Linked DNA regions of Arabidopsis thaliana. The protein of the gene in region 1 interacts with the protein of each later gene in a biochemical or structural test. Each region holds a gene or a part of one and is shown in the gene's direction. Other genes may lie near its edges.

What was found.
Region 2: of the proteins of MPK6 (region 1) and MYB41, one has a biochemical effect on the other in vitro, tested with the Arabidopsis thaliana proteins (2 studies listed by BioGRID, with this or other methods).
Region 3: of the proteins of MPK6 (region 1) and ERF6, one has a biochemical effect on the other in vitro, tested with the Arabidopsis thaliana proteins (2 studies listed by BioGRID).
Region 4: the proteins of MPK6 (region 1) and ERF104 form a complex in vitro, tested with the Arabidopsis thaliana proteins (one study listed by BioGRID).

What each region holds. Positions count from the first base shown.
Region 1 is NC_003071.7:18,134,771-18,143,756, forward strand, and holds MPK6 (MAP kinase 6), read left to right. Parts: upstream 1-3,475; 5' UTR 3,476-3,706; coding exon 3,707-3,939; exon of another isoform or gene 3,940-4,160; coding exon 4,161-4,290; intron 4,291-4,739; coding exon 4,740-4,877; intron 4,878-4,968; coding exon 4,969-5,301; intron 5,302-5,381; coding exon 5,382-5,562; intron 5,563-5,750; coding exon 5,751-5,923; 3' UTR 5,924-6,218; downstream 6,219-8,986. Other genes in the region: AT2G43770 (Transducin/WD40 repeat-like superfamily protein), read right to left, coding at 1-533; AT2G43780 (cytochrome oxidase assembly protein), read right to left, coding at 1,674-1,895, 2,222-2,281; AT2G43795 (corepressor), read right to left, coding at 6,365-6,572, 6,670-6,736, 6,831-6,966, 7,060-7,161. UniProt on the Arabidopsis thaliana protein: Mitogen-activated protein kinase (MAPK) which regulates abscisic acid (ABA) responses in a MAPKKK20-MKK5-MPK6 cascade involved in root growth (e.g. root cell division and elongation) and stomatal response.
Region 2 is NC_003075.7:13,965,873-13,973,757, reverse strand, and holds MYB41 (myb domain protein 41), read left to right. Parts: upstream 1-4,232; 5' UTR 4,233-4,373; coding exon 4,374-4,506; intron 4,507-4,614; coding exon 4,615-4,744; exon of another isoform or gene 4,745-4,995; coding exon of another isoform or gene 4,996-5,006; coding exon 5,007-5,592; 3' UTR 5,593-5,729; downstream 5,730-7,885. Other genes in the region: DGK6 (diacylglycerol kinase 6), read right to left, coding at 1-52, 139-213, 359-426, 581-663, 852-900, 981-1,089, 1,189-1,274, 1,360-1,488 and 2 more; AT4G28100 (uncharacterized protein), read left to right, coding at 7,061-7,654.
Region 3 is NC_003075.7:9,750,368-9,757,858, reverse strand, and holds ERF6 (ethylene responsive element binding factor 6), read left to right. Parts: upstream 1-3,697; 5' UTR 3,698-4,037; coding exon 4,038-4,886; 3' UTR 4,887-5,035; downstream 5,036-7,491. Other genes in the region: AT4G17486 (PPPDE putative thiol peptidase family protein), read left to right, coding at 6,658-6,823, 7,177-7,464.
Region 4 is NC_003076.8:24,764,169-24,771,772, reverse strand, and holds ERF104 (ethylene response factor 104), read left to right. Parts: upstream 1-4,040; 5' UTR 4,041-4,404; coding exon 4,405-5,130; 3' UTR 5,131-5,429; downstream 5,430-7,604. Other genes in the region: AT5G61610 (Oleosin family protein), read right to left, coding at 521-739, 872-1,289, 1,427-1,674; AT5G61605 (EMBRYO SURROUNDING FACTOR-like protein), read left to right, coding at 2,819-2,882, 2,973-3,157; AT5G61590 (Integrase-type DNA-binding superfamily protein), read left to right, coding at 6,515-7,120.

The sequences.
Region 1 (8,986 bases):
GGAAATGTTTGTATGGCTCCTCTTTGACGCATGTCCCAAAGCTTGGCAGTTCCATCATCAGATCCACTGATGATAAGAGGTGGCCCTCTACGTGTAGGACAGCAAGAATTCACAAACGATGAATGTTCAGCCATCTTCTTGATTTGTTTCCCAGTCTCAACATCCCAAGCCCTTACAGTTTTATCCGGACTAGCTGATACAATCTGGGAGCCATCACTGGTCCAATGAAGATCAAGGATGGCGTTCTTGTGACCTTTCAAAACCATGAAGTTTTTGCAGTCCCCGTGAACTCTCCAGAGGAAGATTTCTCTGTCATGGGATCCAGATGCAATCAGAGTTCCAGCAGGATTGAACTTCATGGTATAGACAGCACTCGGATGTCCACTTAGCAACATGATAGGTGCTTCCAAGCTCGAGGTCCGGTTCTTGCCATTGGGACCAGGTCCTTGAGAAGCACTGTGTGGGACGGTAGACCATTCCATCGGCCTAGGACCTGACAAAGCAGTCTCATTCTCTCTTGACATGATTTCCATCTTAGCCTACTTCTCACTGGTAATCAAGTTAGAACCTGGATTCCATGAGAAAACGAATCAGAAGATTGAGCGAATTATAACAATATTCACACAGCTGTGTAGCTTTTATAGATATCTCAATTTCAAAATTTTCAAGCCATTAATCAATATAACATCCGAAAAGCAGATAGTAAACACCAAGAAGTATCATGAAACCTGCACATTCTAAGTAAAGCCTACAAAAGCAAAAGGTTGCAATGTTTATTCTCAAGCCGCAAGTAAATAAACACAGATCATTAAGAAATCGATATCTCTCTAAAACTTGTTGTGGTTTTGCACCAGAGACGAAAAAAGGACTTCAAGTCCGGTTACAGAGATCTCACAGATTCAATTTTGACATAAAGCAAAGCAACCACTAACACCAAATTTAGTACTAGCAGCTCGATTCGTCTCAAAATCGAAACATACATGCATGATTCACCTCCCATTATATTACAGACAGTGAAGAGTTCAAGAAAAAAAGCTTGATAGATACCAAAATTCCAGCAGAAGACTTCATAGAACGAAATTACTTAAAAGAGTAACCCTACATAGAAAGAAGTTACGCACCGAAGTCAAAGGAAGGGGAGGGAGGCACGAATCGCTCGGTGTCGTCGCAAAATTACCGGAACCCTAAACCCAGAGAGAAAAAGCTCGCGAGAAAGAGGAAGAGAGAGATTCAGAAATTAAACAAGTCTGTATTTAATTTTGGTTTATTTGCAAAATATTGATAAGACCCTATTTTATGACGGAATGAACCCGATACTATTCTTTTTGTCAAAATAACCCATCTCCTGCATGTTTTTTGGGCTGACAAATTGGGTTTCTTTTGATTGATTTTGACGGCGTAGTAACAGAAATTTATGGATAGCCACACCTTAGCTTAGACCAAACGTTTAGGTACAAAGAGTATGATAAAGTTGAGAACTTAAGACAATGTCAAGAACATCAAAACCATGTCCTGATCATACATTCTCTTGTTTAATCAATGTATTATAGATTGGACTGAGACTCAAACACAGATGCCACTCGATGTCAGAAACGAGCCACTTTCGTGACAAAAGAAGCTTGGAAAGCAAAGATAAATAACGGGTTTGGTTGGACATATCAAGCCAGTGAGGATTAGACCTTAGATGGAACCTTGGTGTCAGTGTCCACCTGTTTTTGGCCTTCGAACTTGTCTATAGCCACTTGAAGCTCGTCTGTGCCACCAACCGCCCTCATTGTGTAGAAGTATACCCCAAAAACAAAAGCTGTCAAGCCACCAGCTACAACCGTGTTCTTGCCTTTTGGGCCTAGGTAACTAAAACCTGGAAATCCCGCCATTACTTCAAAGTCTTTAACCTGCAAGATCCAATGTGTCACATGTTACAGAAGAGACCCAAGTATCAGAAGTATTAGATTATGTTATATCTTCAATATCACAGTTTCATAAATACTAAGATGAGGAATAACAAGAGAGAACTCTGAAGCATGATATAACAACTTTTGATTACTCTTTTTAACATTGCAGAAGTGACTCCAGAAGCCCTGAGGCATCGCAGGACATTGACATATTGTTCATATAGTGAAAAACAGATTACACAGATTGAATACGACGAATTTTCGAATTGTTATACTTATACCTCATCCTAAGAACTACTACGCCAAGAGTAAGTGATAGTACTCACAACGAGATCAAAGATGAGTACAATCATGGTATGAATGAACAACTGAAAGTTGCAAAACATTTCAGCAAAATAGAACTTTCTTCTGCATCATAATGGAAACGGAGAGAAAATCAATTGGTCACATTCATGCCCATCAGTCTAACATAATTGTCCACAAAATCAGCGCACTTCCCTTTAACGAGTCAATCAACCATAAATCATCAACCAAAGCAAAAATAAAGGCAATTAGAAACCTAACTCTACATCTATACATCCAAAGCTAACATCTTTTAAACGCAGGCTACTGTTACTCAACCAAAGTTCTCAAAACCAGATCAAAATGTCAAAATGAAAGGAGAGCAGAAAATATCAATCAAAAATTGGTTCTTTAAGCAAATTACTCCAAAGTCCACAAAATTAAAATGGAATCGAAAGGAACCTGGTGATGAAGGTTTGATGATCACTCGAAAATCCGAAAGATACAACAAAGCTGATATTTTTTTCTTCTACAGAGAATCGTGCCTAAATGCGACAGAAGCCTAAAGTTTCCCTATTTAGTTGACAACTGGTTCGGTGACGCTTAGTGTCGTGGCCACTTACCAATCTATCGAAAACCCTAAACCCAGTAAGAGCTCTCGTGTGAAAGAGGGATAGAGGCAGAAAGCAAGCCGTCTCGAGTTCGAACCCAACTGTATAACACAAGAGAAGAGATTTATTGCTTCATTATGTAAAAAATATTGAGATGATCCTTGTAATTTTGGAATATTATCAAATTGAACCACCATACTTTTTAAAAATCCAAATAACCCTCAACCAAGCATGTTTCATGTTGTGGCCTCATTCACACTATACGACTATCAAGTTCATCGAAATTCTTGATAGAGAACTTTAAATACTTAAATAGTTAATTTAGATACTATCTAATAACTTTTGGCGGTTTATAAGTTTTTGTGTTTTTCAATCTACATAAAATTTAGCGATTTTTCATGTTACAAAAATAATCTCAAAATTAAAGTACAACCCAAAAACATAATATCAATGATAATAACTACATTTATCTATGATTCATTTTCACCCAACATTTACATTCAAAAAAATGCTGTTGTTACTTGTTAATGATAACGATTAAGGAAGGAAGTCAATGGAACAAAAAAAAAAATGGTGATAAGTCAATGTAAAACGATGCCGTTTGTAACCATAACAGTGTTAAACATGAGAATAAAGGATCAAACTTTGAACAGTGGCTTGCTTGCTTGCTTACACACACGGGTCAAGTGAAGACCCAAAAAAAAATAAAAAAATTAATAGATCCGTACGCACATGACTTTCACTTCTTGTCTCTCAGATCTGTTTTGACCCCAAAACCAACGAATATCAATTTCTCCAATTTCATTCATAATTCACTCACCCCAAAATTACAAAAAAAAAAAAAAAAAAAGATTTTCCATTTCCCTCTTCTCGATCCACCACCACCACCAACCTCAAAAGCTTTCATCTTTACCGGTCATGGACGGTGGTTCAGGTCAACCGGCGGCTGATACAGAGATGACAGAAGCTCCTGGAGGTTTTCCCGCGGCGGCTCCATCGCCTCAGATGCCTGGGATTGAGAATATTCCGGCGACTCTTAGCCATGGTGGTAGGTTTATTCAGTATAACATATTTGGAAACATCTTCGAGGTCACCGCTAAGTATAAGCCTCCGATCATGCCTATTGGCAAGGGTGCTTATGGCATCGTTTGGTAATTTTTCTCCGATTCTTTTGATTTTTGGCTTTTGCTTCTAATTGAAATAAAAAATGATTTTTGTTGATTGGGTTTTGGTAAAGTTGGTTACTTTTGATCCGCAATTTGTAAAATTGATTCCTTTGTATCGTTTTTGAGCTCTAATTATGATTGGGATTTATTTTTGTTTCAATGAAAGCTTTATCCTTTTGTGGTTTTATTTGATTTTGATTTTGCAGTTCGGCTATGAATTCTGAAACTAACGAGAGCGTTGCGATTAAGAAAATTGCTAACGCTTTTGACAATAAGATTGATGCTAAGAGGACTCTCCGTGAGATCAAGCTGCTTCGTCACATGGATCATGAAAATGTCAGTTTTTGCTCTTTCTTTGTTAACTAAGAGTCATCTGTTTATAGAGTCTTATGTAGAACATAATAGGATTGTAGATTTAAATACACTCGAAACATGGTAACTACTAGCTGATGCAAAATTGTTTAGGTAAATAGATGATGTATATATTTGATTGATATTGTATGGGCTGATTAGGTTCTGTGTATGAATGTGTTGTATCTGGTGGTTGCTTATTGCATTTAGATTTAAGGGAATATACATGAATGTTGACACAGTGTGCTTGTATTTTTTTCGGTTTGATACGGATTGTTTCGCGCTTATTCAGTAGTATGATCTTTTCCATCTGCGTCAAGATTTTAAATTCTAGAAATCAAATCGTAAAATGTAACCGTTTATCTATGTTGGCGTTTGCAACGTGTAAAACATTTCCGATTGATAAAACACTTACCATCTTTCTGTTAAATCAGATTGTTGCAATCAGAGATATTATCCCGCCACCATTAAGAAACGCTTTCAACGATGTTTACATCGCGTATGAGTTAATGGACACTGATCTCCATCAAATCATTCGGTCAAATCAAGCATTATCCGAAGAACATTGCCAGGTTTTGAGTTTTGAGATTGTTTGTTGACCTATATAACTCGACTTGAAAACGGGGACTAATTGAACTCCATTTCACTTGTCTCTTTGTGCAGTATTTTCTTTACCAGATCCTCCGTGGATTGAAATACATTCACTCTGCAAATGTGCTTCACAGGGATTTGAAACCAAGTAATCTCCTCCTGAACGCAAACTGCGACCTAAAAATCTGCGATTTTGGGCTAGCTCGAGTCACTTCTGAGAGTGATTTCATGACTGAATATGTTGTCACGAGATGGTACCGTGCACCAGAGCTTCTCTTAAACTCTTCTGATTATACTGCAGCTATCGATGTTTGGTCTGTAGGCTGTATTTTCATGGAGTTAATGGACCGTAAGCCACTCTTCCCTGGACGAGATCATGTCCATCAGCTTCGCTTGCTCATGGAGGTAAGTAGTAACCCTTCTTTGACCCAAAAATAAGCTTTGAAGCACTAAAGAAACAGACCGAGACCATTTTCTTTTTGCAGCTCATAGGAACTCCATCAGAAGAAGAGCTCGAGTTCTTGAACGAAAACGCAAAGCGATACATAAGACAGCTTCCACCTTATCCTCGCCAATCCATCACTGATAAGTTCCCGACAGTGCATCCTTTAGCTATAGACCTTATCGAGAAGATGTTAACATTTGATCCTAGACGGAGAATCACAGGTTAGTCCCTAACCTCTATACCATTTTTAACTTGCAAAATAACTGGAATTGCTTGTACGGATCATTCCAAAATCCCGAAAAAAGATTCAATCTAGTGAAGGAATAATAATAATGAGTTCTTGGTTATTTAAGAGTTAGTTAGTAGTCATCACCTCTTATTGATTCTTGATTCTCGATTCTTGATTCAGTTTTAGACGCATTGGCCCATCCATACCTGAACTCGTTGCACGACATAAGCGATGAGCCAGAGTGTACAATACCTTTCAACTTTGATTTTGAAAACCATGCACTCTCAGAGGAGCAGATGAAGGAACTAATCTACCGCGAGGCGCTTGCTTTCAATCCAGAATATCAGCAATAGTTTGAAGAACAGCATTTGGGAGATGAAGATGAGATAAGGGTTTGGCGTTATTTGGTTTGGACAACATTCTTAAAAGGAGGAAAGATCATTGTTTGTCTTTTGTGTATACTTGTGAGAGATGTTGAAGGGGATGGGTCTCAAACTTTATATTTCAGTCTTTTGGATAATTTGTTCTCTCTGTTTTTTTTTTTCCTATTCGTATTTGTAATTTGCCCTCATTTTGTTGTTGCAGTTATTTAAGACTTAAATTGTCTCAGAAATAGTTATGTTATGATAGCCCACCTTCAATTCCTCTACAAAATACTTGCCATTACTGTCAGCTTTCTTGTTTTATAAAACAGCAGGGAGAGAAATATTGCAGGGAGATGAGGATAGTACAAATCATGTCCTCGGGGTGAAAATTGAGCATTTGATGAACACAATCTCAAGTCTTGCACTGTGTCAACTCTTAAGACTGCCAAAGAATTTTGATTGTGGTGCAGGACCATCAGCCTCATCTTTACTTTGGTTTTGAGTGTCTGCCTCTAGACTTGTGTTTCCTCTCCCTCTTTGGCCTCTTAGAACTTGACCTTGACTTCCTAGATTCGTCTTTGTCACTACTTGAAGATTCAGAAGATGAGCTTGAGTCTGATGATCGCCTTTTCGAATGCTGCAAATCAATAAACACAATGTAAGCTAAAAGCTTCAAGCCAACAGAATTATAGAAGATGTTCAAACTAAACTCGATGCAGTTGTTATGTAAGCACCTTTCTCTTTTTGCTTTTCTTCCTCTTGGAATCTCTGCACTTTCTATCTGTGAGCTCTCTCTCCTTCCTATCTGTAAGATCAAATGGCATATTAGAAAAGCAAGACTCGAACTGCGGATTGTATGACATTCCATCTGCTTAAATTTATTGTAAGTGTATACCTTTCCTGGATATGTCACTAGAATAGTTCCTTCCCTTAGAGAGCTTCATTGCCCTTTCAGCATCTAGCTGAGCTCTATACTCACGCATCAATTTATCGGTATCTGCTTCGACTTCTTGCTTTTTCAATTCTTCTTCCTAAAGAGCGGTCACATGAAGCATATAGAGTGAGAAACATTTCTTATCTGTCGATGCTCCTAAAAACATCGATTTATCGATCAGCAGCTATACCTTTTGCTTCTGCTTATATTCTTCCCAAGTAAGAGTGTGTGTAGTCTTGAGACTGGCCAAACGAGCTGCATGCCATTCTGGTGAATGAAATGAACCATCCATCTGCGACTCGCCTCATCAGAAATGTTTTGGTAACAAGATAATAAGCATAAACATAACAATCTAGCCAGATTAACATGACAGAGAGAGGAACAAAGTAGCCCTAAACAAAGAAACGTTTTAAAACGTGATATTTAGCGTTTTGTTGTTTTGTTAAGGATAATATTTAGCGTTTTGAAGTTCAGATGGATTTGTTTGGGCTATTTTCACCTATCCACTCTTGTAATAGTCTCTATATATCCCATGTTATCACGACGTCAATAACATTTTATGAACTTATATTCCATAGAAAAGAATACTTTGAACATGAAACGATTATTAAAAAAAAGGCTATGGAGGATGTTGAAGTTTAAAGTAAAAAGGTGTTATACCTCGCCGTGACCAATGTACTGATCTTAATCCTCCTGAAATTAGACGAAAAGCTCTATAGTTGGCTGACCTAAAGAGGGGAATGTGTGTGCTATCGGATCATAAAGCCTTTGGTAAGTGGCTTGTTTCCATTCCATTTTGAAGATGCTATAAAGGATCTCTTTGATCACATTTTTACAGATTTTTTTCAAGATGGCAATAAAGAGGCTGATAGGATAGTCAAAGAATCACATTTCTATAAAAGTGTGTACTAAGGTTCTATTCCATTGTGCCGGATTGGTTAAAATTGTATGTCAAGAAGGCTCATTAGTCTTCATTGTATTAAATATTGGAGTAATGAATTCAAGGGATCATATAATGTTTTGTTGAGAAAACGGTCCATATTGTTTTATAATGGGCCTAAAGCCTCGTTATAGTAATCGTTATTTTGCAAATAAAACCAAACTATACACGAGCTTATACAACAAATGTCACATTTAAACATAGTTTCTTTAAGAAAAAGAACTAATCATTTCTAGTGAATTATTCAAGTGAAACTAAAAAGAAAAGAAGAAAAAAAAATCTAGATGAAGCAAGCTAAAGCTATTGTAGCACTTTAGCTTTGGCTTTCCTATTTTTGCCAACTTTTACTCTTTTTTATTTAGTTTTCTTTTACTTTTTTTCCCACAAAAATCCAATCCTATGCAAAAGATTTTGCCTTTCACGTCGTTTGGAGCACGATTCACTCTAAAAGGTACGTTTTCTCACAAGTACCCCCAAAAAAGTTGCATACTCAATATACACACAAGCTAATAGTATAAATCACTTGCTTGAAGAATTTGAAATCACTGACGAAAATAATAAGCTCCTTTTACTTTCTTCTCTAGTTTCAAAACGTTAAATACTTTATATTGTTTTTGTTTGTCAACGTACTTTATATTTTACAATTTTCAATACATAAATCATAGCTTTTTATTATCTCCAAAGTTGTTCTCTTTAAAGAAGAAACTCCAATCAAAAATCTCACGTTTGAATGATGATGCAAACAATCACATTTAAATTCTACAATAAATAGTGATAGAGATAATTCATTATTTCATTTGTACAGTTTGGTTGTATGATTTGATTATGGTGTGTATATCTTAGTTGAAAGGGTAACATCGTAAATTAAATGTTACTTTGAAAACCGGAACAGGTAATAGTCGGTGAATAAGAGGGCTAACAAAAGAGAGAAGAAGACTGACACGTGTACATAAAGAAAACAAAGTGGGATGACTCAGTGAAACGTTATGGATTTGCGTGATTCACGGGTTTACAGTAAAATGTTCTCGTCGTCTAGCTCTCTCTCTGTACGCTCTTTTTGTACTCAGTTTTTGTTGCTCCGACTATTTCTCACCGACGGTTTTGTTCTACGTCGTCGTTTTTTGTTTCACTTGTAGTGTATAATTGTTTACACTTATTAGTGTTATCATGAAGACTA
Region 2 (7,885 bases), on another chromosome or scaffold:
ATTTAGTCCTCCAGAAAAACTAGGAAGATTCAAACATACTATGGACCTTATGCTGCCAGAACAAAAATTTATGTTAATTACTATATTCTCTATTGTACAAATAGAAAGCCTTGCATAACCTTTTACTTATACAGTTACCTTTGGGGAATATGAAGATCATTCCATTGGCCATTTCTATCACAAATCTGAATTTTTGCAAGCTTAGCTATGTTTCTGCAGCAAACGGCATAGATTCAATTGAGAGCAAAATTATATACACATGAAATCAAGTTACATCGAAACTATAAGATGACGTCTAATTTTAATGAGTGGCAAGCGAAATTGGAAAGAATGGATAAGAAAATAAAAATATACTCACTGTGAAGAAGGGTGAAAAAGAGAGGCAAAAAACCATCCTTGTGTGCAACTAAGCTTTAGATATGTGCTCTGGAAGGTCATGAAATCAATGGAAACATTACATATTAGTGTAATTTAGTCACGTGAAATATATTGTACAACTGTCCCACTAATGTAAACATTAGAGCCACATCAATTGAAGACAACATAAAAAAAAAACTTTAAGAGCAAAGGTAATGCAAACCTGATTAACTAGCTGATTTTTAAACCTTTCCGGGTGCAGTTTTCTCTGGGAATGAAATGCATAAGATACTTGAGCATCCATTCCTGCAGTAAAATTTGATTAGGGATTAGCTTGTATCTTCCACAAATACAACCAACCAGTGGAAGTACTGAACATGACAATTCATACAATTAATTTATAATCCAAGTTTCAAATATCATTGACATGATGTTTAGATATCATTTATCTCACACCTAACACAACGTGGAACGTAAAGAGCAAAAAATGTTACCCAAGCTGAAGTAATTCCAGAATCCCCCACGATATGTATGGTAACCTTCCTGAAAATTTGAAAAGAATAATGCTGATCATATAAGAATAAAAGAAAGAGATGATGCGCAAAAGAAGAAAAATATCTTACCATATTTTCTTGATCTGATGGGAAAATACGAGGAAGAGAATGTGGTAGCTTAAGAGTAATATCACAAGAGCCTTCCTTGGGATGCTTCATCCTCATAAGTATCTTCCAACTTGATTAAGATATAAAATGCATACATATATCAATCCAAAAACAAAGTATAATATATGAAAATTGAAAGAGAATGATATATGTGTAATTGAATATATACTTGTCTATCTTCATCTCTTTTGCATTGATCACTTTACCCAAAAAAGACTCCACCGAAGACCTATCTGTTCCAGGATTTTTCTTACCCTGAAGATGATGAGATTTAGTAAGAAGAAACATATTCTATGAGATATAATATGATTTGAGTGATCATCAGTGTATATATACATACCCATCCAAATGCAAATGGAAGGTTGTTACCGGTACCTAAAGGAACCGTAGCAATTGGAGGTGGATTGGATAAATTAAGATCAGAAACAACTCCAAGGAGCCAACCAGCTGTTCCATCTCCCCCTGCAACCTAAATTAAACATAACTCATGCTTAATGACAAATGACTAAATTATTAACACCTTTTCTATTTACGTACCGATGAAGATAACTCACAATGATTTTCAACTTGTCCCGAATCTTGCTAGCCAAACTATCGTCTTTTAACCTCTCTAGGTTAAGATAAATTCTCTGCAGCACTTTATCTGGGGTCTCTACCTCCAGATCAAAAACCTGAGTACCAAATATGCTATAATTAATAACCAATTAAAAAACATGGAAATATAATATATGATAATGATCATCAGTAAAATAATGTAGACAGTTATCTAATTTAATTAGTTTCCATATTTCAATCAAGTTTGATTTTTAGGGTTTTTAGGTTAAAATCAGATATAAAATCAATCAAGTTACGTATTTAAGAAGAATCAACGAATTCATCACTTTTTGTTGTAGAAGCCAATTTCAAAAACCAATGAATCATTAGTCTATGGCTAAAGCCTAAATTGATATATTATAGACCTGCTTGTCGTTGAGCAGAGTACGGTAGGTAAGGATGAGTTCTGCACCTAGTTGACCTCCGCTTTTGGAGTTGATGAATACGAGGATTGGGTTCTCAGGTGCAGTTGTACAACTGATTTGCGCCTCAGGCTCGTCTTCAGGCGAGAGAACGTACGAAGGTATGAAGAATTTCTTAAGGAAATCTGATAAATTCTTGTATTTTTCCATACTCGTCTCTGACTGAACCATTCACATATCAACACTCATCAAGTATTCATATTTAAGATTAATCAAATAACAAATATATAAAATCGACATCGTTAATCATGCAAAAGACGATCGAAGTAGACATCATACCATGAAATCTCTCAAGGGGTTGAAAGATAAAGTTTACTATATTATCGTGTCTTGAAAAAGTAATTAGATTTAAATAATGGAGATCCTGAAGATTTTATAACCTTTTGTTAATGGTATTGCTATACCAAGACTAATTAGGAGTTAGAACAAGGTTAAAGGCACAACGTTGATTTTCCTTTTTCTTTTATATAGATAAAAACACTAGTACTCTTAAATGGTCTTTATGCACATGAAAACGTGATCTTTAACATGCATATCTAATTAGTAATTACTGCTTTTTTTGTTTGTCAAAAATTACAGTCTTTTTTCATTACTTTTTTTGTTAAAGGATTTATATCTAATTTACTGCTGACATATGGAAATGGAGTCCATTGTCTTTGTATTATATATCATCTTTCATATATTTCATACTTTTCTTTAGTTTAATATATTTATACCAATTTATACATATTTAGATATTCTACAAATATTAATTTTTTGTCATCATTTGTTTTATATTTTATAACATTTAACTTATTAAGGTTAAACGCAATTACAAAGTGTAACTTAGCCCGTCACTGATGAGCTCATTTTTACAAGCAATTAAGCCCATTAAGGGTGTAAAGCTTAATTCCACTAATGGCCCATTAAGTAAAAAGCGCTATAGTATTAGGCCTTGTTCGAGAATCTCCTAATGCCATGACTTAGACACAATCTTTGGACTTGACATCAATACATCATCTCTGACGATGACCGATTTCCTTTGGTAAATCTCTGACGATGACCAATCCAGAAGAGAAACCTAAGAGTAGATAGAATGATGCAAAAAAGAAGTGAAAGGATAACCCCACATCACATCTCTTTCCATGTGTCACCTTCTGCATGAATCCACACATTGCTATTTTAAGAAGGTGAAAATATTTTAAAATGTAGACAATAAGCTTCGGTGTGAACTTCGGAGAAGCCTGTGGTTCTTGTGATAAAGGGGATATCGAATTCAAAGTTTGTTGCACTGCTTTCCACCAACAATTTAACAAACATAAAAAATAAAATAAAAAAGTTTCACTTCTTTTGCAATTTTGTAGTTATTTAATTTGCTTTTTGAAATCGTCTAAGTAGTGCCAACGTGGATGGCTTGTTCGGAGAGAGCCTTCCACAAGCAATTGAAACTTGGAATAACGTTGCATAAGTAAAATGTTGCAATCATCAATTTTAAAAGCACAAGGCACATGACATTAACACGTTATTTGAAAGTTTTTTTGATGAGAATATCCAACTACTTTACCGTCCTCACTCTCTTAACCTTTGAAACTCTAGGCTTTATGTTCCAAAATTCAACGTAACATATATTCTCATACTTAATTTTTCAGGTTTTCTTAAACCAAACATTATGTAAAAGTCAACTTACCTATATTAACATGCAAAGTCAACATCTCTTTTTTTGTTTAAGCAAAGTCAACAACTTAACCCACAAACAAAAAGCAAAACATGCAAAATTATTAATGTGCTTCACTCTGACTCTCACCACCATAAGGTAAACATAAAATACTCTCACCGCCGAAGTTACCCCCACAAGGTTTCTATTTTAATCTCTTAGTTCCATTACTTTATCTACATTAACATACAAAAGAACATTCTATCACTCCAAAATATACGCATAAAGATATTATTATTTGAACTAACAGAATCTAAGTTAGATAGATAGATTATATTAAATACCATACATACTATCACGTGGATCGTTTCTAGAATATACAGTAAAAAAAAAACGTTAGGCGATATGTAGTCTAAGCAAGGTTTATAACCTTTTGTATATTTCAAAGGACGTGGCATATTAGGTACATGCCAAGTGGAATTGACCTTGGCTCTCTTCTACATTGATAAAGTTCTTCGCATAATTCACATCCCTATATAAACAAATGAACGGAGAAGGTATGAGTACATCCACACATTGACATTTCTAAAATCCAACTCCTCTTTTTGAAAATTAAGAAACTCCACTTGGCTCTTCGATTTTTTCTATCTAAATAACAGAACCAAATCATTATCGAAATTTAAAGTTGTGCGAAACAAAACAAAGATGGGAAGATCACCTTGTTGTGATAAAAATGGAGTGAAGAAGGGACCATGGACTGCTGAGGAGGATCAGAAACTCATCGATTATATTCGATTTCATGGTCCTGGCAATTGGCGTACGCTCCCCAAAAATGCTGGTACGTATAAACTACACACCGTTCCTTATATTTTGTTCTCATAGATTAATATATATGTTCTCTATTTATTGAGTCACACACTTATAAGTCGTATTGTACAAATTAAAGGACTCCATAGATGTGGAAAAAGCTGCCGTCTTCGATGGACCAATTATCTAAGACCGGACATCAAGAGAGGAAGATTCTCGTTCGAGGAAGAAGAAACTATCATTCAGCTACACAGTGTTATGGGAAACAAGTAAGCCTGATCATTCACACCATAATTTTTGTCTGAAATTCATATTCATCAGCTACATGCTTTTGTATGTTAATTAATGTAAAACTCAAAAAGGGAGAGTGTACGTTTGCATGCGGGGGTACATGTCAAATGTAGGCCATCAACTCCAATAAACTATTATTAGTACTTTACTAGTACGTATTGACCTATATTAGAATAATAATAAAGGAGTTTTGTATTGATCATAGATTAATGTCACTAATATTGAATTGATGAATATTAGGTGGTCAGCAATAGCCGCTCGTCTACCAGGGAGGACCGATAACGAAATAAAAAACCATTGGAACACTCACATCCGCAAGAGACTTGTAAGGAGTGGTATCGACCCTGTTACTCATTCTCCACGCCTTGATCTTCTTGATTTGTCCTCACTTTTGAGTGCACTTTTCAACCAGCCAAACTTTTCAGCAGTTGCAACACATGCGTCTTCTCTTCTTAATCCTGATGTATTGAGGTTGGCCTCTCTACTACTGCCACTTCAAAACCCTAATCCAGTTTACCCATCGAACCTCGACCAAAATCTTCAAACTCCAAATACATCATCAGAATCGTCTCAACCACAAGCTGAGACTAGTACAGTCCCAACAAACTATGAAACTTCATCATTGGAGCCTATGAACGCAAGACTCGACGACGTTGGTCTTGCAGATGTATTACCACCTTTGTCAGAGAGTTTTGACTTAGACTCGCTCATGTCAACGCCAATGTCTTCTCCACGACAAAATAGCATTGAAGCAGAAACCAACTCCAGCACTTTCTTCGACTTTGGAATTCCGGAAGATTTCATCTTAGATGACTTTATGTTTTAATTTTCAACATTTGCATACACATGTCTTGCTTTCACACATATGATTCTTTGTTGCATTCTTTCTTTTGTTTGATGTATAAATTTCTTGTTTTTATTCTCTCAAAAGATATTAAGTTATTAGTCTATAAAATTTTCATGAATGTTTATGTATTATCTGCTTAGGCGAGATATCTAAATTCTGCTCCATTAGTCCATATACACAGTTGACGGAAGCAAACATAGAATTATTAGCGTCAAACACATCACATATTCATATTGCTTTGTTCGAATCATCGTCAATCAAGTTAATCAGTTTATGCGAGTTCTATCATTTAGGCCCAATTCAAGGCCCAATTCAAGTTCATTTTAAAGCCGTTAATTTGGCCAATTTAAGGCCTATATTCCGGAAGCTTGTAGAACTATTTTCTAAAAACCAAATCGATAATATGAGTTAGTTAAACTTGGTCTATATAAAATGATATTTTCACTTTTCAATTCCAAGCAAGAGATAAGTGTGGAACAGTTAAATCTAAGTCTTATATAGATAATTTGAATTTGAGGGATGAAGGCATTTTGACTAATTGGTATGGGCAGGTAAGTAAGCAACACAAAGAACGTGTGAAAATGCTTTAATTGGTGGAATTTGGAACTTAAAGAGGAAGATTAGGAAATGCATTAGTGAAAGTGGGGACGACTCCTTTTTTCTCGCCTTTTGGAGTTTTCACCTTTTTCCCTGACGGACCGTTTCCCTAGGCTGGCCTCCGGCTCATATTCATATACCCGTTTGAAATAAGAGGTTTATTTCTTTTTATTTTTGGATTTGTCAATGCTCATAAAGCGTATCAATGATTTAATATATGATTGTAGAGAGTTTTTGTGTTTTGTCCTTTAGATATCGATCCTTTTCTTCCTGTGACTATGCTCCATTCGCATCTCATCCCACCTCGTTAAGGGCTCGTTATGTTTCTCCACCATTCATATCTTTTTTTTATTTTCTCTAACTCCTATCTTTAAATTTTTCTCTTTCACATATTTTTGCTAGCGTTTTGCGAAATTAAAAGCCACCATGTTATATACATGAACATGTAAATACATTACAAATGTACATGGATAAATATGAACTATACATTATGCTTAGTTACTAATGTAGACATGTAGTTAAGAATTCTTAGTTACTACTAGAACTAGTAGTACAAAACAAAAAGACAAGGCCTATAATTTCCGGAGCTAAACACAGTTTACAAAGGGATTATAGACTCTAAAACAAACCAGAAACTGCCAAAAGTCAGGAATCTCTTGTTTTTCTTCCCTCACATCTCTCTTCTCTCTCTCTTCACAATAGTCCTTTGGACAGAACAAAAGAGAGAGAAGATAGTGAATAATGGAAGGCTGCTTTTCTTCGTGAATCTCAGAATCTTAAAAGACTCAGATTTGAGAAAACGTTTCAATATCTAAATCCATTTCTCTCCCTCTCTCTTTAGCCATTTAGAATGAAGAAAAGTCTCACTCTACTCATCCTCCTCCTCTGTTCTCTCCTCTTCTCCACCGTCTTGAGCAACCTACTCGTCGAACCGGTCCAACCCAACACCGTACCAGCCTTCCCCGTCGAAACCCAAGCTCAAAGCTGCCGACTTGACCTCTCCAACGAGCTATTCGGTGGCGTCAACGAAGCTTGCGGAAGAAACCTTGACCGGAGTCGATGTTGCCCTGTTTTAGCCGCTTGGCTCTTCGCAGCTCACGCTCGCTCTGCTCTCCAGTTACCAGCTCCTGCTCCAACGCCGGAATCTTCTGATCCCGACGAACCCATGAAGCCTGACGACTCTCAGAAGTGCGTCAACACATTGCAAAGTGCGCTTTTGACTAAACAAATCAAGATCCCTCAGCCTAATTCTAGCTGTGACGCAATCTTGTGCTTCTGTGGTATTCGTCTCCACCAGATTAGCTCACTCTCTTGTCCCGCCGCTTTCAATGTCTCCTCCGGCTTCAAAAACGCAACTCCGACCGCCGCCGTGAAGAATCTTGAAAAAGAATGCCGGAACTCTTCTTACTCCGGTTGTACCAGATGCCTCGGTGCTCTTCAAAAGGTTCAATTTTTATAACTTAAGTTCAAATTTTTCGCATTCCGTCACATTAAATTTTCATTCTTTATGTCCCTAGTCCCTACACTAAGGATTCACAGAGCATTTAATGAAATTTTTTTCTTATCCTTAAAAGCATAATAAATGTTTTGATTTCATTTGCGTGAAGTCTTCTTCAGAATGTTCAAGTAGCTGTCACTCTCTATCCATGAGTAACATGTTCACCAAACTCACAAT
Region 3 (7,491 bases), on another chromosome or scaffold:
AATTTCGAAACAAGGTATATAAATAGATAACATCTTAAACTTACAAGAAACAAATTAAAGACATCAACTGTTTAAGAAGCAAAAAAAAACTGCAAAACATGTATTCATGTATTCATTTTATGCTCATAAGTCATGACGACTTCCAAAATGGACATACCAATCATAATAAGGGCCTATAGAGATGTCAGATGAGTTTGGAGTGAATCATTGGTTAGATTATTGACAAAAGGATTTTTTATATAAGAATTACTGTCCATTTTATTTGAATATTCATAATTATTAATTTTCGTAATCATCCGAATCTGTAGTTTAAAAGATACGTTAAAACAAAGATACGTTAAAAAATTAGAATATATAAGACATTAGTTTACATACTTAATAGTTTGAGTTTCTCTTAATAATTTATTGAGTTTAACAAAAAAAAATGGTATACATTTGAAAGAGGGGAAGCATATGAGTGAATGAGTCTATGACACATCAGCTTTGAAATTGACCAAATCCGGTCGTGTGAGACTTTTGACCATAAGAATTTTCAAACTTTCTACAAACATCTGTGTACGTGAAAACAAAACCACACGTGCATTCCCACTGCAATTGAGTTCTTCGACAAAGATGGTATACTTTTGTTCTGGCAACAAAGAATACTTTTAAAAGTTTGTTGGTACGTTGAAAGATTAAGAAAACTATCCCATTTTCCCCGCATAAGAAAACTACTTTTAATAGAAATGGTGTTTCAAGAAAGAAAAAAAAAATATCCTTTTTTTTTTTTTCCTGAATATTATGAGGTTTTGGGCCGAAATCCGTAATTCCTCCAGATTCGAAACCAAAGCATGTAATGTTAGTTTCGTTCCAAACGTCACTCGAACTGACAACCTCTAAATTTCGCCTAAGATCTTTACCAATTTAACTATATATCCTTTTAAATTCTAAAATTCTCATTTTTATATTTTAACAAAACACAAAAACATACTTACCAGAAGAAAAGAAAAAAGCATTCAAACATTTTCTTTAAATATTCGTACTTTTGACAATTTTCAGTTTTTAAAGTTGAAACTGTACACCATATATATAAAAGTGAGATAAATGTAAGAAATGCACGTGTTCAATCATATGGTTGAAATAGACTGGATACATGCATTTTGATTACTTTTACACACAAGTATTTATAGAATAGTATTATAGTACCTTCGTAGAAATTACATATTCCAACTTAATTGTAGTATACTGTTCAGAAAGAGTAACTATTTATGTCCAATTGCCAAAAAATAAATATTCTATTAAGGAAGTTATTGAATAGTTTTGTTGAATGGAATTCGAGAAGAACAATTTAAGTATGAACTAGTATATTATACGATCAAACTTTTCGTTCTTATTTTATTAACTGAACTATGACCGCGATCACACATGTTAACAAAAAATTAACAAAGGTAAATTAAAATGATGATTAATTATAGAATAATAACGTTAAACATATGAAAACTTTTGGTTCTTATAAAATTTATAGAATAATAACTAAATTAGAACAAAAAATTAACAAAGGTAAATTAAAATGATGATTAATTATAGAATAATAACGTTAAACATATGAAAACTTTTGGTTCTTATAAAATTTATAGAATAATAACTAAATTAGAACAAAAAATTAACAAAGGTAAATTAAAATGATGATTAATTATAGAATAATAACGTTAAACATATGAAAACTTTTGGTTCTTAGAAAATTTATAGAATAATAACTAAATTAGAACAGGAAATCTCACATATTAACAAAAATTTAATAAAGAAAATATAGTATGAAAGTAGGACATGTTGTATAGTGGTTAATACTAATCTCGTCTAATTTCGTTAACTACGTTTTAGAGGCTTAAGGGTAGTTTACAATTTATGTCTCTTGTTGTAAAAAAAAAACATTTACGATATTTACATAATCGAACTTCTTCACTGACTTTTTTTTAAATAAAAAGAATCTAACTGACATCCTCTCTAGACTCAGTTAAACAAAGAGTCTAGAAATTAGTTTAAACTCAAATACGTAACATAAGCCTAGTTTTGGAAACATGTGGACCTCTAGGCTCTAAGTTTTCATTTGTTGTGGATTCTGGCATTTGGCTGTTTTCTAACACACAACTCTGGTGTAACGGTACCATTATCCCAGTTTAAATATGTATAATGCATGTTTATATATATATATATAAAAATTAAAGACTAATGATAAGAAGAAATCAATCAATAATTGATTTTTTAAGTACTAGATTTTTTTCTTTCAGTTTTTGACATCCTAGATTTCCAGAAAAACTTGAAAAACTATAGCTAACATGAACGAATATAGCAAACATTTTTTTTTGTAGGAACGAATTAGTAAACATGAATACTCTGTAATTATTGAGAAGTTAATTATGGATTCGTCTGGGCAATACCCATTGATATTTCCCTTGAAACAAAGATATTTGTAATAAGAACATAAGTACTGGACAGACACACAGAGCTGAACTAGACATGTAAATTATTTACAAATGTTTTAAATAAGTGAAAACGTTGATTTGAAAAATATATTAGAAGATTCATTTAAACCTACATCTAGGATAAGCCTTGAGCAATATGTTTCATATATATAGTATAAATTGTCATACTGATAGAAAATTGCATATGTGTGTGTTAGGCTTTGTAAATTAGTTTCAAGTATGAATCAATATCTATGATGAAGTAAGCACATTCGTACGAAGACGTAAAATGGATATATCACGTTCGAAAGCAGCAACCAAAGCCAAAAGTGGTCACATGGTTTGTTGTTGTAAAATATATATTTTTGGTTATAATTATTGTAGAATAATTGAGACTAGAACTTAATTAGTATTACGATTCCGCTAATTACGCAGCCCTTATCTTTCGAGACTATAACTTTAATATTACGATTCCTCTGATAGTCTAATTATGCATGCATTTTTGTGTGTTTGCGTTTTAGTTTATGTTTTATACGTAAGGTAATATCTATTCACTTACAAATGAAGCGATAAGCTTATAATTTTGTAGCTTGTACCCGTAGACACAATAAAAATGTATATTTATCGGTGTAATGTTTTACTATGTTCGGCAACATTTTAACAACACTTTAGTTTTCAGTGATTATATAACAGCTAGAAATGAACATATATATAGTGTTGATCATTGAAATAAAAACAGCTTTCTGGTCTGAGATGTATAAAACAAAAATAATGGATATTTTATCCCGAAAGATTATGTAGAGATTGGATGAACAAATTACTGGTTGAACTTGAAATTATTGGACTTTTTTTTTTTAAATGTTTTTGGGCAGCTATACGAGAATTCCATGGGTCTTTGTCCACAAAATGTTGGCGACCATACGAAAACATCGTCGACATTCGACAAAGAGAATCTAGTCTTCATAACTAAAATATTTTTAATCCAAAAACAAAAATAACATCCGACGTACGTGAAGTAAAACCAGTGTTTTTCTTCCATCAAATTTTGCAACTATCATAAGTTTTTATATAAAAACGTGTGTTTATCCAAACATTGAGTTGATACGGCCGCTAAATTTTGATATTGCAAATGCATGCATGCGAAGAATTCTCACAACGAGTAGTAAATTAATCAAATATTAACACGAAAGGTACTTTATAATAACTATTACTAAACCGTACTAATATTTTGATAAACATGAATCGATAAATTCTTGTCTAATCATCTGCCAAAGAAACCCAATATTAGAGCGCAGCCTAATTAAAATATTTGTGTTTTGTTTTTTTACCCCAGCTGCCATTGATGAACCACACGATCAAACCGTTGACGAGGGGTTTATAATCTAATCAAACGGTGTAAAACCGGTGAAACACGCGTGTACATACACCATCCCGCATTTGATAATTTTAGATTTTAAGTTTAAAAAATCCTGAGGATGTTGCCTTGAAAGAGTCTCTCATTGACTTGACTCTTTCCTATAAATACACCTTTCCACTCTCTCTTCTCCACTGTCAAATCAAATCCCTCTTCCTCTTCAATTCTCTGTTTCCTCCAAAATGGCTACACCAAACGAAGTATCAGCTCTTTTCCTCATCAAGAAGTATCTCCTCGACGAATTGTCTCCGTTGCCTACTACTGCCACCACCAATCGATGGATGAACGATTTCACGTCATTTGATCAAACCGGTTTCGAGTTTTCTGAATTTGAAACCAAACCGGAAATAATCGATCTCGTCACTCCCAAACCGGAGATTTTTGATTTCGATGTGAAATCTGAAATTCCATCTGAATCGAACGATTCCTTCACGTTCCAATCGAATCCTCCTCGCGTTACTGTTCAATCCAATCGAAAACCGCCGTTGAAGATCGCACCACCGAACCGAACCAAGTGGATTCAATTCGCAACCGGAAATCCTAAACCGGAACTTCCCGTACCGGTTGTAGCAGCAGAGGAGAAGAGGCATTACAGAGGAGTGAGGATGAGGCCGTGGGGGAAATTCGCGGCGGAGATTCGAGACCCGACTCGTCGTGGAACTCGTGTTTGGCTCGGGACGTTTGAGACGGCGATCGAAGCGGCTAGAGCTTACGACAAAGAAGCGTTTAGACTACGAGGATCAAAGGCGATTCTGAATTTCCCGCTTGAAGTTGACAAGTGGAATCCACGCGCTGAAGATGGTCGTGGCCTGTACAACAAACGGAAGAGAGACGGCGAGGAGGAGGAAGTGACGGTGGTTGAGAAAGTGCTAAAGACGGAGGAGAGTTACGACGTTAGCGGCGGCGAGAATGTTGAGTCAGGTTTGACGGCGATAGATGACTGGGATTTGACGGAGTTTCTGAGCATGCCGCTTTTATCGCCGTTATCTCCACACCCACCGTTTGGTTATCCACAATTGACCGTTGTTTGAATTCTATTTTTCTGTTTGGGTCAGCTTGTTGTATGCTGACGTGGAATTATGCTATATCTTTTGCTTATTTTATGTTCACATTCGAGCAAAATTTATTCATTCGTTTATTTGTTTTTTAATACAACTCTTGATATTTCTAAATTCTAACCAATCACCTTATTTAGCGGCTACTGAGACAAAAATCGCATGTAAAGGCGAATCAATATGGAAAGAACAGAGAACACATAACACGAAGCTCCGATCAAATGACTTTTTATCATAGAACGTATTATTTTTCAATGGCATGTAATATGCTCGGATTTATTACCGTAACATCTTTAGCAGTCTCGATTATATCCTATTTGTGACTTAATATTTGAAAGCTCCATGACTCTTTTTTTTTTGCATGTATAAACTCTGACTAATTGACTTTTATAATATCTTGTTTTCTATAGATTGTTTCATTTGATTCATTTCTCATTTGTGACTTCATTTTTGAAATATCTATAAATTTGTAATCAATAATTACAATTAATAAATTAGTTTGGCGGAAAAAGCTCTAATCTTATAATATGGGAATCACGTATATATATTACAATTTCCATATTTTTGCATGGTAATATCTATGACTCTTTTCCTTCTTTTTTTTTTCTTTCTTTAAAACAAAAATGCTATGGTTCTTTTTGCATGGTAAAAGCTTTCCATTTTGATTTTTATACCATCGCCTATACGTCGATCCTTAAGAGTTTCTCTCATCCAATCTTAGACTTTTATACCACAAATCAACTTTTCCCTATATACCACTGCTTACGTTAAGTCATTAATACAGCTAATAGATTATTTAGATAACTTTAATAATCTCTTGTGTGTAAAACTGAATTTTGGTTCTTTGTTTATCTTTTTAGAAATCCGAATCATATCTATATTTACGGATGTGAACACCATAATTCTCAAATGGTATCGCTTCTTTCAGTGAAACCAAATACGAGGCTTCAAATAAATTTTATTATTCAGTATATATAAAAAAATTAAAATGAACAAATCAACTAACAAAAAATTTGAGAGAAAGTATATTGAATATATTTTTTTAAAGTAAAGGGGGGTAAATTGAATATTGAAGTGTAATAATCAATGAAAATTATATTAGTACATACGTGTTAAATATGTAAATACATATATGATTTTTTTTTTGCCAACTAATATTTAGCTTTGACTTTTATTTGTTTTGTTCATTACTTATATGCTTAAGTTTTAACCAAAAAAAAAAAGCAAATCTTCAAAGAAAAAAACTCCGTGTATAAACTTTTCTCGATCATTTTTGCAGTCTCTCTCCCAACCAATCCCATTCTGCTCGACTCTCATGTAAGCTCCGTTTCCTTCGTCTTCCTCGTCTCTCTCGATCTCTCTTGCTCGATTGTTGTACATGAAAACGCACGCGCCCAATTTCAATTATGTTTCGTGGCTTTCCTGATTTGAAATTCGAGCGATTGGATAGATTTTTCTTTTAGAGGATTAGATTTTTGATTGTATGTGTAATTGCTACTGTGTGAATCGAATCCTTGGATCTGTTCTCGTTAGTCGCCAAAGAAGAAGTTGTATACATGTTTGATTGTTTATGTTCGAATTGCTTGAATTCCAATTATTTTGATCTAAGTTATGGAACATTTGATTGTTACTTTTGGTGTTTATATGATGAATATGACCATCAGTTTTTTTTTTTTTTAGTGTTGCAGAGGTTTAGGAAGAAAGGAATGGTTCGATCGTGACTTTGAATTGGGATATTGTGTGTAAAATGTGGGTGCCTACATTGAGCTCAAGCTCATGTTCAAGTGATGAGAGGGATGAGAGCAGTGGAGAAGCCGCGCTTACGCCGGTTTATCTCAATGTCTATGATCTAACGCCTGTCAACAATTACCTTTATTGGTTTGGGATTGGCATTTTCCATTCTGGTATTGAGGGTATGTTTCTTCTCTTTCTCTTTAAGATTCTTGATTGAGATCACGAAAGGAGAAACCTTTCTATGAGTCTGTATATCTGTAAACTCAAGAGAACATTGTCTACTTAGTATGCTTTTGAGAAGGGGATTGTTTCTGGATATAGAAAAATAGCTGTCTTAATGATTTGGTGGCAATACTAGGCTCTTTTGAGAAGGGGATTGTTTGTGGATATAGATGTAGGACCAAGAAAAGTGTTAAACGCTGAGGATTATTTAGTGGAAACTTTCTATGATCCTTTAATAACTTAGATTTTACCTGTTATTTTAGTTATTATTCATTGCTCTCTTTGACACAGTTGTTCAACTTCAATGTAGCTCATAATTTGGAATATTGCTATGGAGCTCACGAGTATCCAACAAGTGGGGTATATGAGGTGGAACCTAGGAACTGTCCAGGGTTCATCTTTAGACGGTCGGTTTTACTGGGAACTACCAGCATGTCCCGTTCAGATTTCCGCTCATACATGGAGAAGCTTTCAAGAAAGTACCATGGTGACACTTACCATTTGATTGCCAAGAACTGTAACCATTTCACTGAAGAAGTATGCTTGCAGCTAACAGGAAAGCCTATTCCAGGATGGATTAATCGGCTGGCCCGAGTAGGTAAAAGATATAATAAACCTTTCTCTG
Region 4 (7,604 bases), on another chromosome or scaffold:
GTATAATTTTTTTAAATAACTTTGTGATATAATTCGATCCAATCTAAACGCGTTGAGATCTAATTGGATACTTGGAAATTTAGATCAATATAGGAACAAAGTCCTCGTTTCCTTATTTAGGGAAACCTTTTTTGTTTATTTGTTTATTGCAGTCAGTGTGTGACACATACAAAATCTACGGTGGTAAAAAATATGATTAGTTTGATCAAAAATTAAAATCTAGTAGGTTCTGAGTTTTAGATTTTTATTTAATCTCGACTAAGATTCCGATTGCAATTTTTATATATTAAAATAAAATAAAAAAACATGGTAATCTGACAAATTGAGAGATTCCACCTGTTTAATGTGTTTTTTCATAACTGAAATTTACGCTTTCTAAAGTACATTAATAGCAGCATATTTATAAACAAAAACACATTAGCTTATAGTATTTAATACCTTCAAAATGATAAATTTCGTTTGAACTCTTTATAAGGTAAAAGCGTACCCTTTAAAATAATAACCACCCAAGTCCCAAATGTCATATATGAAAATGGTTTACGTATTTTTTGTCACGAGATGTAAAATATTTATATGCAAAAGCTCCTACACGGGGGACTTTTTGGTATTCTTTCATAAAAATAGATCGTGCTTTAGTAGCATTAGCATCCATGGCGAATCGAAATGGGTGACACCTTTTAGTACAAGTACTTGGGCCGCAACACTTGGGGACAATTGGGTTTTGCTCCACCACCATAACCTACCATTAATTTATGAAGGGAATATTAAAGCAGAACAGTGTTTAATCTTGCTAATCCAAATTCTTTTCCCGGCAATTGCTAAATGTGAAAAAATCATTAACGAAAAAATTTGAACATCACTAATATAGTACCTTTGGTATCTCAGGGATTGACAAATGCTCAACTCCTCCTAAAGGCATATCTTCTTCCACATGCTTATCTCCTTCCGCCGGTTTATCTTTTTGTGGCGGTTTGTCTTCCTCCACCGGTTTATCTCCTTCCGCCGGTTTATCTTTTTGTGGCGGTTTGTGTCCCTCCGCCGGTTTATCTTTTTGTGGCGGTTTTTCTTCCTCAGCCGGCAATTTATCCTCCTCGACCGGCTTATCTCCTTTCAGCAGATTGTCTTCCTTGGATGGCTTGTCTTTTCTCGGCAGCTTATCTCTTTCTGGCGGCTTGTCTTCCTTCAACGGATTATCTCCTCCTGATTGCTTGCCACTTTCTGCCAGCTTGTTAGGCCCATCAGGCCTACCTCCTCGTGCATGCAAAGTAGCTCTGGAATACTCTTCTTTCCTAAGTGTCATTCACACATACATAATGTTAACTAACACACAAAATAAAAATGTGGTCAATGCATGTATGAACAAATTTCAATTGGTACAATCAAAGCATTAGAAGAGTTAATTAGTTACTTTAACTTAAGTAATTACTTGTAGAGCCATATGAGGAGGGCGATCCCCAATGCTCCGAGGCTACCAGAAGCTAGGAACCCCGTTGCCAAGAAACTCGATGTGATTACCGCCGGTACGAGAATCGGACTAAGAACCACCAAAACCGGTATCATAACGGTTAGAGCCACGGCCGTACCGGCAAAGGTTAAACCGGTGAGGATCATGAAGGATACGACGGCTATACCGGCATAAATAGGAGCTTTGTCTTTCGTGCCAAAGAAATGCATTTGGCAGTAATAGAAATTTTGTTACAACGTAATCTGATTGTGTATTAAAGAGTGGGTCCAGTGGTGAGATCGACGTGTACGACACATGACTGAAGAGAGTATTTGTCCTGTCCATGCATGCAACTGACACCTTTGTTAGTGAAGTTGCTCTACCTCACGCCAAGTTACTTCGCTTTTTTTGTTCACATCTTTTTTGTATGTATTAAAAAATTTCACATTTTTTTGGCCTCGTTCGTTTACTTTTCTTCTTTCGTAAACACACACAAATTTGAAAAAAGGAACTCAACTATTATATATCAATTTGAAAAAATCGACACAATATGTGAAATGAAAGATATGAACTAGAGATAATTAGCAGGCAAAATAAAATCTGATAAGTATTGCAAGTTTGCGACGAACAAAGAGTGAATCAAAAGACTGCAATTAAACAAAAACCACAGTATCTGCAGGCTATATGAAACTACAACTTCAAAATGTTACCGGATAAATTAGTTTCAATTTTCGACGATATGTAGCATAGTGTGGTTAATTATATTGACGAAACCTTTGTATTGATTGCAATTATAAGTGTAAATTTTGGCAAGTTGATGTGTAAGCTCCTTCGTGGATCCAACAAATAATTAACAGCTATGGCCGATGGCGTTGATGAGTGGTCGCTTCTTTAGTCATAGCGGTCAGACAATTCAACTTCATTTTATTTTATTTATTTATTTTGCCATCATTCAACTTCATTTCTTGGATGAAACAAATTCAACATTCAAAATTTTTTTTTTTTTAATATATATATAAATTATAGATATTCCATTATACTTTAGTTTCCATTGAAACCACTATTTGATGGATGATTCTTCATTTATTCTTGTCGACCAAATTAAACTTCTAATGGTTTTAGGTCTGATTAGTATTTCTTTCAAAAACAATTTTCTTTTAAGAGAAAAGGTCATATTACTAAGGAATAGCAAAGAACTAAAACTAATAAAACAACTAGCTCTAAGCGTTTTTTTGTGCATCACTATAACAAGAGACGTGCACTTTTAATTAGTAGTTTAGTACTATATAAAACCCTATTACTTGTGTGGATTTCGACCAACCTATAACAAACAACGTTTCGGTATAATTTTAAGAAGAATATATCACAACAACAATGTCATCATTATATTTTGCTATCCTTTGCCTCTTCATGATTTTCCTCGTTCCTTTACATGAATGTAAGTACATACATTTTTGCATGCATATAACTCATCATCTACCATCGCAATTATAGTTAGTTTTAACTCCTATTTTCTCTTTTGTTATAGTTGGAAACGCACAAGGTTCTGAGGCGGAGCTGCAATTAGATCCATCAATGTGTCTGCGTGTCGAATGTGCAAAACACAGAAATCAAAAATGGTGTTTTTGCTGTGCCGGACTACCGAGGACCTGTTTTCTTGATAAACGAGGCTGTACGTCTGTCTGCAAGCGCGAATCTCCTTCAATGGCTTAAGAAACTTGAAGAACCCATATCTACAATTTACTAATTACGTTTAAATTTCTCTTGATATATGAATAAATATAAGTTTATGGAAAGGAAACAATTACGATTATGCTTATCGTAATTTAACATATTTTTTTTTATTTTTTTTTATGTTTATGGTAATTGTGTTACCATTGCAATTTGCATGTCTACGAATTCGTCTTGCATTGGTAATCCAATATTCCATGTGATGCTTTTCTTTCTAACTGAAGGTATTCGTGAAAACGAATTCAAGATTGTGGGAGATAATTAGGGTTTCGTCAAAAGCATGAATTAGGAAAATTTGGGATTGATTTTTTGAATTTGGGAAAAGTCCTAATTTTAATTCGATCAAAGCTTAAATGATGTCGTTTTGGGCTGACTAACGAAGTCGTTAACAGGTGCCAACGAGTGTTAAAAATCTGTTATCGCTTGATAACTCTTTGGTTTTTTAGTCTAATCAACACATTCTCATGTTTCAAACAGTTAATCAACATATTGTTCATGTTAAAAAATTAACACATGTGAAATTGATATATAAAAATATCATATATTTTCAAAAGTTGGATCATTAAATAAAATTTTTCCCTATTTTTGAAATAATTCTAAAACAGTATTAAAGATATTTCCTGAAATTGTTTGCATGTGATCGGTTTTGGACCGAAACTAAAAAACTTAGAAACTATATTAACTTTGAGTTGTCGAGATGAAGATGTGAAATAGAAATATAGGATCAATGGTTAGAATTTTGGCAAATGTATGAAGGTGTGTTTGATTGAATATTCCAAGTCCTTTGCCTTTTGGAATTGGCATAACTACTACAACAAAGTTTTGATAGGTTTTCCGAATTCTTTAAACTCCTTAAATTTTTAATACATCTCAATCAAACTCCACTTATACTAAAAATAATCCATATTGCATTTTTAAAAATTCTAAAAGAAGAATCACATGATAACTTGATAAGCACTTTTAAATGATAGATGTCCACGTAGAGGAATAAGACAAAAAGACAAAATAAAGAAAAAGGACGAAATCTAAAGAGAGAAAATAAGTAACAAGTCCAAGAAAAGGTAGTATGATCTTTCTCGGTCCGATCCTCGAAACTCCCTCGAAGGCTCGAACCCTCTCTTTGTTTTTTTACCACTATATAAGAAAGTCCGATTCCTCGTCACTCTTATTCCCACTTCCACACATACACATATACAACAGAGCAAGAGAGTCAATCAAGTAGAGTGAAGATGGCAACTAAACAAGAAGCTTTAGCCATCGATTTCATAAGCCAACACCTTCTCACAGACTTTGTTTCCATGGAAACTGATCACCCATCTCTTTTTACCAACCAACTTCACAACTTTCACTCAGAAACAGGCCCTAGAACCATCACCAACCAATCCCCTAAACCGAATTCGACTCTTAACCAGCGTAAACCGCCCTTACCGAATCTATCCGTCTCGAGAACGGTTTCAACAAAGACAGAGAAAGAGGAAGAAGAGAGGCACTACAGGGGAGTGAGACGAAGACCGTGGGGAAAATACGCGGCGGAGATTAGGGATCCGAACAAAAAGGGTTGTAGGATCTGGCTTGGGACTTACGACACTGCCGTGGAAGCTGGAAGAGCTTATGACCAAGCGGCGTTTCAATTACGTGGAAGAAAAGCAATCTTGAATTTCCCTCTCGATGTTAGGGTTACGTCAGAAACTTGTTCTGGGGAAGGAGTTATCGGATTAGGGAAACGAAAGCGAGATAAGGGTTCTCCGCCGGAAGAGGAGAAGGCGGCTAGGGTTAAAGTGGAGGAAGAAGAGAGTAATACGTCGGAGACGACGGAGGCTGAGGTTGAGCCGGTGGTACCATTGACGCCGTCAAGTTGGATGGGGTTTTGGGATGTGGGAGCAGGAGATGGTATTTTCAGTATTCCTCCGTTATCTCCGACGTCTCCCAACTTTTCCGTTATCTCCGTCACTTAAAACTTCGGAAAAGTCAACGTACGATGACGTTTTCACTTGCGTCACTCTCATGATTTCATTTATTCTTGTATAATATAAAGGTAGCGGTAGTGTGCAAATATCAAATAAGTAGTTTAATTAGTACCAATCATTTTATTCATTATTTTTTTTAGTAGAATATTTGGATGTTGAAAATATAAATTTAATTTTGTATTTGTTGATGTTATAAATTTATTGATTGTATAAACATTCTTAGTCATCAGTTTCGTTAAGTCCATATCTAAACACTTCATATCTGCTAAATAGTCAATAGATTATAAAATTGGATCAGGAAAAAGTAAATCGGAGCTATAAAAAAATAGTGTGCAACGAAAAGACAATTAATTAGTTAAAAATACATACAAATCTAAACAAATTCAAAATTTCAATAGTGGAAAACACCAATCAAATGGATAATGCTGTCGAAGATTATCTACAAAGCATCAATAAAAGTAAATAATTAATATTATCTTACATGCTATTATAAAAGATTATGAGATTAGGAGTATAATTGTCAAGCAACTGAGCAAGAGGGTAAGGTTTGGTTATTATATATGTGGAGCCCTATACGAAGTTATGTAGAAACAAAGAAATATCAAGTTGCTTCAAATCATATCCTAGCAAGACAACCCTACAAGACAAGCAATTTGATGAATTTGTCTCTCCTTTTTATTCGAGTGAAAGTCATTATCTTCTTATCTTTTTACTCGAATGTGAATATGCAAAATATCTTTTGATATTTAAGAGCTTACCTAGTGAGTCATTACTACTACGAAAATCATATATCAATCTTATCATAAAACTTTTAAGATAAAAAAAAAAAAGAAAAAACTTTTGAGAGATTGGCTTTTAAAGACTTAAGTTACGATTATAAACACTAGTAGTTCAAGTCTTTTTGGTTTTGGTTTGTGTTATGTTTTAGATTTAAAATTTCAAATGAACCTACGTCCTTAACCAACTCAATCAAAATTCTAGTTAAAAAAAATAATCACCATTTTGTTAGCATTCAGCTTAGGATTCGAACCATGGGTAGCTCAAGGTATTTTAAACTCTAGAGGAATAAAATGGATGTTAGTGAAATTTGTCAGCATCATAGACAAGATCAAGTTGGCACAACTTGAAGGGTCCTGACAAAATATCTTAAGTTGCCTCCATAAATGTTTAATGGATAAGACTTGGCCCCACAGAGTTAAACCAGAGAGACACAGAGAGAGACTTTTGACACCTCACCCATGGCTGCGTTAACACATGTTTAGGATTCCTTTCTTTATATAGCCAACAATATCATCAAAACTTTTTCTTCAAACACCACTTGCAGTTTTTCTTATTCTCCTGTCTTGTCTAAAGAAAAAAGAGAGAGGAAGAAATGGAGACTTTTGAGGAAAGCTCTGATTTGGATGTTATACAGAAACATCTATTTGAAGACTTGATGATCCCTGATGGTTTCATTGAAGATTTTGTCTTTGATGATACTGCTTTTGTCTCCGGACTCTGGTCTCTAGAACCCTTTAACCCAGTTCCGAAACTGGAACCTAGTTCACCTGTTCTTGATCCAGATTCCTATGTCCAAGAGATTCTGCAAATGGAAGCAGAATCATCATCATCATCATCAACAACAACGTCACCTGAGGTTGAGACTGTCTCAAACCGGAAAAAAACAAAGAGGTTTGAAGAAACGAGACATTACAGAGGCGTGAGAAGGAGGCCATGGGGGAAATTTGCAGCAGAGATTCGAGATCCGGCAAAGAAAGGATCCAGGATTTGGTTAGGCACTTTTGAGAGTGATATTGATGCTGCAAGGGCTTACGACTATGCAGCTTTTAAGCTCAGGGGAAGAAAAGCTGTTCTCAACTTTCCTTTGGATGCCGGAAAGTATGATGCTCCGGTCAATTCATGCCGAAAAAGGAGGAGAACCGATGTACCACAGCCTCAAGGAACAACAACAAGTACTTCATCATCGTCATCAAACTAATGGGGGAATAGTGATGTTTAATTAGTATATATAGGTTAATATCTTAAGTATGTGAAGCATCATGTATAGAGCCAAGAACCTGTTAGACTAGTGTACTGAAAAGAACTCTTGCAAAATATGTACTAAAGAGTTCCTGTAACAATGGAACTTCTGCGTTTTCTCTTGTCTTAAAGAGCTTAAGGTTCTAGAAACAAAGTTCTTGTCCTTTCGGTTTATTCAGAGTACACTATTTGGGAAGACAAGAGGACCTAAATCTATCGACTACATTTATTTATTAATCTACTGTGATACTTAAAATCGAATTTCTACCTGAAAGACCTTAACATAAGCCTTAAAGTTTCTCCAATGACACAAACAGTACCGTACAGTGGCTTCAGTATTCACTATTCGATATCACTGAGGTATTAATTAGTTCACATGTCCAGAAAGCGTGAATCAGTGAATTGAGTAGAAAGATGAACAAGTTGCAAGAGGGACCAAGTTT